Linked DNA regions of Saccharomyces cerevisiae S288C. The protein of the gene in region 1 interacts with the protein of each later gene in a biochemical or structural test. Each region holds a gene or a part of one and is shown on either strand. Other genes may lie near its edges.

What was found.
Region 2: of the proteins of YPD1 (region 1) and SKN7, one has a biochemical effect on the other in vitro, tested with the Saccharomyces cerevisiae proteins (2 studies listed by BioGRID).

The regions. Positions count from the first base shown.
Region 1 is NC_001136.10:32,725-35,856, forward strand, and holds YPD1 (Ypd1p), read right to left. Parts: upstream 1,195-3,132; coding exon 691-1,194; downstream 1-690. Other genes in the region: PHO13 (4-nitrophenylphosphatase), read left to right, coding at 1-510; GTPase-activating protein GYP7, read right to left, coding at 1,513-3,132. UniProt on the Saccharomyces cerevisiae protein: Phosphorelay intermediate protein that is part of the branched SLN1-YPD1-SKN7/SSK1 two-component regulatory system, which controls activity of the HOG1 pathway and gene expression in response to changes in the osmolarity of the extracellular environment.
Region 2 is NC_001140.6:510,915-515,438, forward strand, and holds SKN7 (kinase-regulated stress-responsive transcription factor SKN7), read left to right. Parts: upstream 1-1,817; coding exon 1,818-3,686; downstream 3,687-4,524. Other genes in the region: serine/threonine protein kinase SCH9, read left to right, coding at 1-923; SET5 (S-adenosylmethionine-dependent methyltransferase), read right to left, coding at 3,991-4,524. UniProt on the Saccharomyces cerevisiae protein: Transcription factor that is part of a SLN1-YPD1-SKN7 two-component regulatory system, which controls gene expression in response to changes in the osmolarity of the extracellular environment.

The DNA.
Region 1 (3,132 bases):
TTCGATGCAGCTAAATCACCATTTTTGGTGAACGGCCTTGATAAGGATGTTAGTTGTGTTATTGCTGGGTTAGACACGAAGGTAAATTACCACCGTTTGGCTGTTACACTGCAGTATTTGCAGAAGGATTCTGTTCACTTTGTTGGTACAAATGTTGATTCTACTTTCCCGCAAAAGGGTTATACATTTCCCGGTGCAGGCTCCATGATTGAATCATTGGCATTCTCATCTAATAGGAGGCCATCGTACTGTGGTAAGCCAAATCAAAATATGCTAAACAGCATTATATCGGCATTCAACCTGGATAGATCAAAGTGCTGTATGGTTGGTGACAGATTAAACACCGATATGAAATTCGGTGTTGAAGGTGGGTTAGGTGGCACACTACTCGTTTTGAGTGGTATTGAAACCGAAGAGAGAGCCTTGAAGATTTCGCACGATTATCCAAGACCTAAATTTTACATTGATAAACTTGGTGACATCTACACCTTAACCAATAATGAGTTATAGAGGAGCAATGCAAAATCTAGGGGTAGAATTACTTTTTGAAAAGGAAAAATATTCAGGTTTGTTGTTTTTATGTAAGTTGTATGATTTGATATACATATATATATATATATAATATATATTGTACATGTGTTTTTCCGGGGAAGAATGGATTATCCGGAGGTGTGAATAAAATGATGACGATTATAGGTTTGTGTTGTAATATTTAGATAACTCAATTCTCGCCAGTTTGAACTCCAACCTAGACTGGTTCAAAGCTTTTGCTATCAAGATGAGATATATGGAATTTTCGTCTTTATCGTCCACTTGTATCTTTATTTCCTCGTCATCTTCATCAATATTGATTCCATTAATAATCGATTTATCGCTCAGAGTGTTGACCAATTCGGTCTTGTTGGGGAAGAAATGTTCCATTTTTCTTCCCAAGTTTTGAATTCTTTCACAAACCCAGGCAATTCTTTGTAAGCCTAATGCAGCAGAAGAACCCTTTAAAAAATGGCCCAGATTGTCTAATTCGGTAAGATTTTTTTCACCGTCCAGCTGTCGTTGCATTTGAGCAAAAGTTGTTTGTGCCTGGTCGATAAATTGAATAATTAGACCTTTAGAAAAATCGGAATCATCGTCATCCATAGATATAATTTCATTTAAGATGGTCCAATTGATGATTTCTGAGGGAATAGTAGACATTATTGTGTGTATTTTCTTGTTTCCGAGAACGAGTGTTGTTATTTCTTTTGAATTTTTCAAAGAAATAAAACTATTACACGTCAGTGGTTATCAATGATCCAGAGCACAACTATCGACCAACCCAACCGGTTTAGAAATTAAAAACAATAATGTTCCTAAATATAGGTTCAATTAAATTTGATAAAAATATTAAACTTTTTATGTAATTTTTCTTCAGTTTTTCCGTTTCGGGCGGGTTACGGATGTATTGATGATTATGTGGCATAAACGAATTATATCTCCGGTATTCAATATGTAAAGTTCCGTTTCTATTTACCACTATTTAACGGAATTTTTGCTCCTTTGCCCTTCATGTCTTATGATAGGTTTTTTAGAAAGAAGCAGGGTCAACCTCTCGCTCTGACAAGGCAATACGCCGGTAGAGGATGAGGATGAAGAGGAGGATACGTTTTGTAAATCTCTTTCCATGACGTGCATCATTTTCTCAAACTTCTTGAACAAAAGCTCTGCTCTAACCATTAGGTCATTCCAATCCAACTTCCCGTTAAGTTCATTAAAAAATTTTAATATTTGGTCGAACTGATTTAGATGTTGTAAAATAGCTTGTGAGTTTTTCTGTAGAATGGCCAACATGAAGAATAATTGGAATTGTGAACTGTAGTAGAAAGTCCAGAAATTCTCCCAAATGTGCATAATATCTTCCATTTCAAATTCTCTCTTGAACCATACTAGAAGCATTCGAAAGCAAAAGAACAAGTTTCCTGAATCACACTTGTTTAAATGTTCGCTCAATTCGGGTAGCATTAATTGTACCAATTCCACGAGAGTTAACATTTGTTCATGGATGCCACTCTGGTCTCTTAGAAAATTTCTTTCCATAATGTCCATGAAGTGCGTAAAACACCAAAACGTTTTCCATTCTTCCTTCATGATGACATAAATAGGCGATAAAAGATCGGTCATCCCCTGCACGTAGCCTAAGTTTGTGTTGTAGACATTATAAGTGATAAGAATGTTTTGTAAATGTATCAAATGTGGGTTCCTGACTCCATCGTCTGCATCATCGCTCTCGTCATTAGCGGATTCGGGGCTGGTACTGTTATTTTCATTTGCTGGGAGTTGTTGTGGCGGTGGTGGTAATCCATCGATGGTATTGTATTGAAATATCTCCAAGTTTCTATCACAGCGTCTCACATCTTTAGATATTCTGAATAATTGATCGTTCCAATATTCCTCTTCATCTTCATCGTCAAATTGTAAAAAATCTTTTGACCAGGTTAGTTTCAATTGATCGTATTCCGCGGCTAAAGTTTGATCGATTTGTACCCTCTCGTCTTGAGAAGAATCCCACGGATATATTTCTAAGAGAAAACCCCAAACTTTCCCTCGCAAACTGTCATTTTCTAACCCACCATGAAATATGAAATCCTTAACTTCGTTTACCGTGACCCTCAGCCTCCCATCGTTCTCATCCCATAGCGAATTCCATTTCGCTTCCGTTAAAGGAAATTGTCTTTGCAGAGCATTATTTATTTCAGTATCACTTAATTCATCAGTTAGATTCAGGTCGTTGAAAATGTTATTCCTATACGAATCAAAGAGTTTGTTCTGCTTTTGATACCTCTCAGCTTCCTGTTTTACTCCTAATGACCAGTTTGCCAAATACACTCTTGCAGAGTCATAATCCTGTTCAATTTGTTTAACCTTCTCATTGTTCAGAAGCTTTTGCAAGTATTCATTGTCGATTTGTGATTTTTGTATGGGTGAGTTGTTAGTCAGCCAACTATCGATAAAATTGGTAGACTTGGTAGTCACGTCTGCTATCTTGCTCATTACGTTCCATTTCCATTCTTGGAATTTCTCGTTTAGTTTCACACCGGCGGTAGCGAGTTCAGTTGTATCTTTCTTCGAATTGTTATAACTTTCCAATAGATCCTT
Region 2 (4,524 bases), on another chromosome or scaffold:
ATATCGCTGAGTTAGTCCTAGCGTTAGAACATTTACACGATAACGATATCGTTTACAGGGACCTAAAGCCTGAAAACATTCTACTCGATGCCAACGGTAACATCGCTCTTTGCGATTTTGGTCTTTCTAAAGCTGACTTGAAGGATAGAACAAACACATTTTGCGGCACCACGGAATACCTGGCACCAGAATTGTTACTGGACGAAACCGGCTACACCAAAATGGTCGATTTCTGGTCTCTAGGTGTTTTGATATTTGAAATGTGTTGTGGTTGGTCCCCTTTCTTTGCGGAAAATAATCAAAAAATGTACCAAAAAATTGCCTTTGGTAAAGTCAAATTCCCCAGAGACGTACTGTCACAAGAGGGGAGGTCTTTTGTAAAGGGTTTACTAAACAGAAACCCCAAACATAGACTCGGTGCCATTGATGATGGAAGAGAACTACGAGCTCATCCATTTTTCGCAGATATCGACTGGGAGGCCTTGAAGCAGAAAAAAATTCCACCACCTTTCAAACCTCACCTAGTCTCGGAGACGGATACCTCGAATTTTGACCCAGAGTTCACAACAGCTTCAACTTCATACATGAACAAGCACCAGCCGATGATGACTGCTACCCCGCTATCTCCAGCCATGCAAGCAAAGTTTGCTGGTTTCACCTTTGTTGATGAGTCCGCCATCGATGAACACGTTAATAACAACAGAAAATTCCTACAAAACTCGTACTTTATGGAACCTGGTTCCTTTATCCCGGGAAATCCAAACTTACCTCCAGACGAAGATGTCATCGATGATGACGGGGACGAGGACATCAATGATGGATTCAACCAAGAGAAAAATATGAACAACAGCCATTCGCAGATGGACTTCGACGGCGACCAACACATGGATGACGAATTTGTCAGTGGAAGATTCGAAATATGATTTCTCAATCGCTCCTCTTGCCCTTCCTCTTCTTTTCCTTTTCTTTTTATTTTTTTCTAATTTTTCTATCTTTTATTTCTACTTCTATTATTAATTTGTATCTTCTAATCGTTTTTCCCACTTTATCGAAACATTTCTTCTATTTATATATGTAAAGTATGTATGTATTTTCGTTTTATTTAAACTCCAAAAAATGAATAATTGTTCCTGCAAATTTCTAGTTTATCACGTCTCATAATCACTGCTTATACCTCACCATTCCATTGTACTTTGACATATTTACCCCTCATCTATATATAATCAGGGCTTAAGTAAACGCTTCGCTGTGATTTCCCAAAGTCGGTTCGGAAATTATAGGTCGGTTATATCATCCGAAAAAAAAAAAAAAAAAGTTTTTCTTAAATGCATAGGTTTAAAGTCGATTAAAAGTAGGGCTAACACAAGTATAAGCAGGGTTTTGCTATAATAGGGATGCCATAAGTGAGGGCAGGGCTCATCGATGCGCGTACATGGATTTTCCGAAATTCTGAATTTTTTCTTTCTTTAACTATGAGCAAAATGTGGTCAGCTTTACTGAGCTTAACTGTCATCCCATCGAATGTGACAAGATTGAAAGTGCTTCCAGGATCTGAAACATTTGTCAAAGTTTTACTAACATTACACAGATATCCCTGGTCACCTTACTATCTTCCAACATCTTACCTAGGCTTGCTGCTTTTGTTTGGGTCATATATTTAACTCGCTCATTAGAGGACATTCTGTTTTTTCCAAGACCAACAAAAAAGCAACGAAATTGCTGTATTATTAAAGGACTGTTATAGAAGTTTTTTTATCCTCTCTTTGTTTCCATTATTCTTATTCCTATTTTTTCGTTGCTTACTTTTGATATCCACTATGAGCTTTTCCACCATAAATAGCAACGTCAATAAAACCACCGGCGATAGCAATAATAACACCACCGAGAACAGTTCGACTGCAGACCTTTTAGGAATGGACTTGTTGCAGAGCGGGCCTCGACTGATGAACACGATGCAGCCAAACAACTCTTCTGACATGCTGCACATTAACAACAAGACTAATAACGTTCAACAACCAGCTGGAAACACAAATATCAGCAGTGCTAATGCGGGAGCAAAGGCTCCAGCAAATGAGTTCGTAAGAAAACTGTTCAGGATACTGGAAAACAATGAATATCCTGACATTGTAACTTGGACTGAGAACGGCAAAAGTTTCGTCGTTTTGGACACAGGAAAGTTCACTACGCATATATTGCCTAATCACTTCAAACATTCAAATTTTGCATCTTTTGTAAGGCAACTAAACAAGTATGACTTTCACAAGGTTAAGAGAAGTCCCGAGGAAAGACAGAGATGTAAATATGGCGAACAAAGTTGGGAGTTTCAGCATCCAGAATTTAGAGTCCATTACGGAAAAGGTCTCGATAACATCAAAAGGAAAATTCCGGCGCAAAGGAAAGTGCTTTTGGATGAATCTCAAAAGGCTCTTTTGCATTTCAATAGTGAAGGCACTAACCCCAACAATCCTTCTGGGTCTCTTTTGAATGAATCCACCACAGAGCTGTTGTTAAGCAATACCGTAAGTAAAGATGCATTTGGAAATCTAAGAAGGCGAGTAGACAAACTACAAAAGGAGTTGGATATGTCCAAAATGGAGAGTTATGCTACTAAAGTAGAACTACAAAAGTTGAACTCGAAATACAATACGGTTATCGAAAGTTTGATAACATTCAAGACCATAAATGAAAATTTACTCAACAACTTCAACACTCTGTGTTCCACTTTGGCAAATAATGGTATTGAAGTGCCAATATTTGGCGACAATGGAAACCGTAACCCAACTGGTAATACCAACCCAGCAACAACAACAGCTATCCAAAGCAACAACAACACCAACAATGCTTCTCCGGCAACATCTACAGTTTCCTTACAACTACCTAATTTACCCGATCAGAATAGCCTAACACCAAATGCTCAAAATAACACAGTCACGCTACGAAAAGGTTTCCATGTACTGTTGGTGGAAGATGACGCAGTGTCTATACAGTTGTGTTCAAAATTTTTACGGAAATATGGCTGTACTGTCCAAGTTGTCAGCGACGGTCTTTCAGCTATCTCAACACTAGAGAAGTATAGGTATGATTTGGTTTTAATGGACATTGTTATGCCAAACCTAGATGGTGCCACAGCGACATCCATTGTCAGAAGTTTTGATAATGAGACTCCCATCATTGCCATGACAGGTAACATTATGAATCAAGACTTGATCACATACTTACAACATGGAATGAATGATATCTTGGCCAAACCATTCACGAGGGATGATTTACACTCAATTTTAATACGTTATCTAAAGGACCGTATTCCTTTATGCGAACAGCAATTACCACCTCGCAACTCTTCGCCACAAACTCATTCCAACACCAATACTGCTAATTCGAATCCTAATACGATTAATGAACAGTCGTTAGCCATGTTACCACAAGATAATCCGTCAACTACTACCCCTGTTACCCCAGGTGCCTCTATATCTTCTGCACAGCATGTTCAACAAGGTCAACAAGAACAGCAGCATCAAATTTTCCATGCTCAGCAGCAGCAGCAGCATCACAACGCCATTGCTAATGCTAGGTCAGACGTAGCCATACCGAATTTGGAACATGAAATCAACACTGTACCACATTCCTCAATGGGTTCCACTCCGCAATTACCACAATCTACACTTCAAGAAAACCAGCTATCATAAAATTTTACAAATAGCCTTGCGTCTAAGTTAGCAGAGGACATTCTGTATTCCTGAGGAGTTTCTTTATATTTATTATGTGATCTTGGAGGATTATCATTTTCTTTTCGTTCAATATTTTATCCCCTTCAGTTATTTCCAGTTATCTACATCAAAATGTTTGAATTTTATTTCTTTCTGCCGCTCTCAAATTCACTCTCATTTCTTTTTTCTTTGTTTTTCTTATATTTACTATATATATATATATATATATATATATATAGCCAAAAACAATAACAGACACAGTAATTTAGTATGCGTTTATCTCTTATCTTTCATCCACTGCGACCGAAACGTTTGAATCGAATCTGACTGAGGTTTTTCTTACATTCCCTTGTGTATCAACAGTTTCTGGTATGTCTAATTCAAATTCTTTTCCATTCTTCAGTATTTCTTTTAAATCTGGCTGGGCCTCTCTCATGGAAGATTTACGATTACCAGTTGATTTCTTAGAGCCATCTTCACTACTATCATTGGAATCTATTTTTTCTACTCCTAAATTAGCATCCGCATTCTTTTTCTCTAGATTTGGAACTCTTTCAAATGTAGATAGTTCATTTTGACAGCGGTCACACTGGCATAAGAAGCCCCAGTTAACTCTTAATTCCCTACGCCTCAACCTCACCCCATGTAAGGGATTGACGTACGTAATACGTATTTGTTCCCCCTTCTTTATTGGTTTCCTTGCATGCAACCTCAGTTCCTCATGTTCTTCTACTTGCTCAATATAGGCGTTTGGTTCACAATCATGGTTTATGAAGGAGATCCAATGATATACCTGGCCGTTATATTGATTGATATT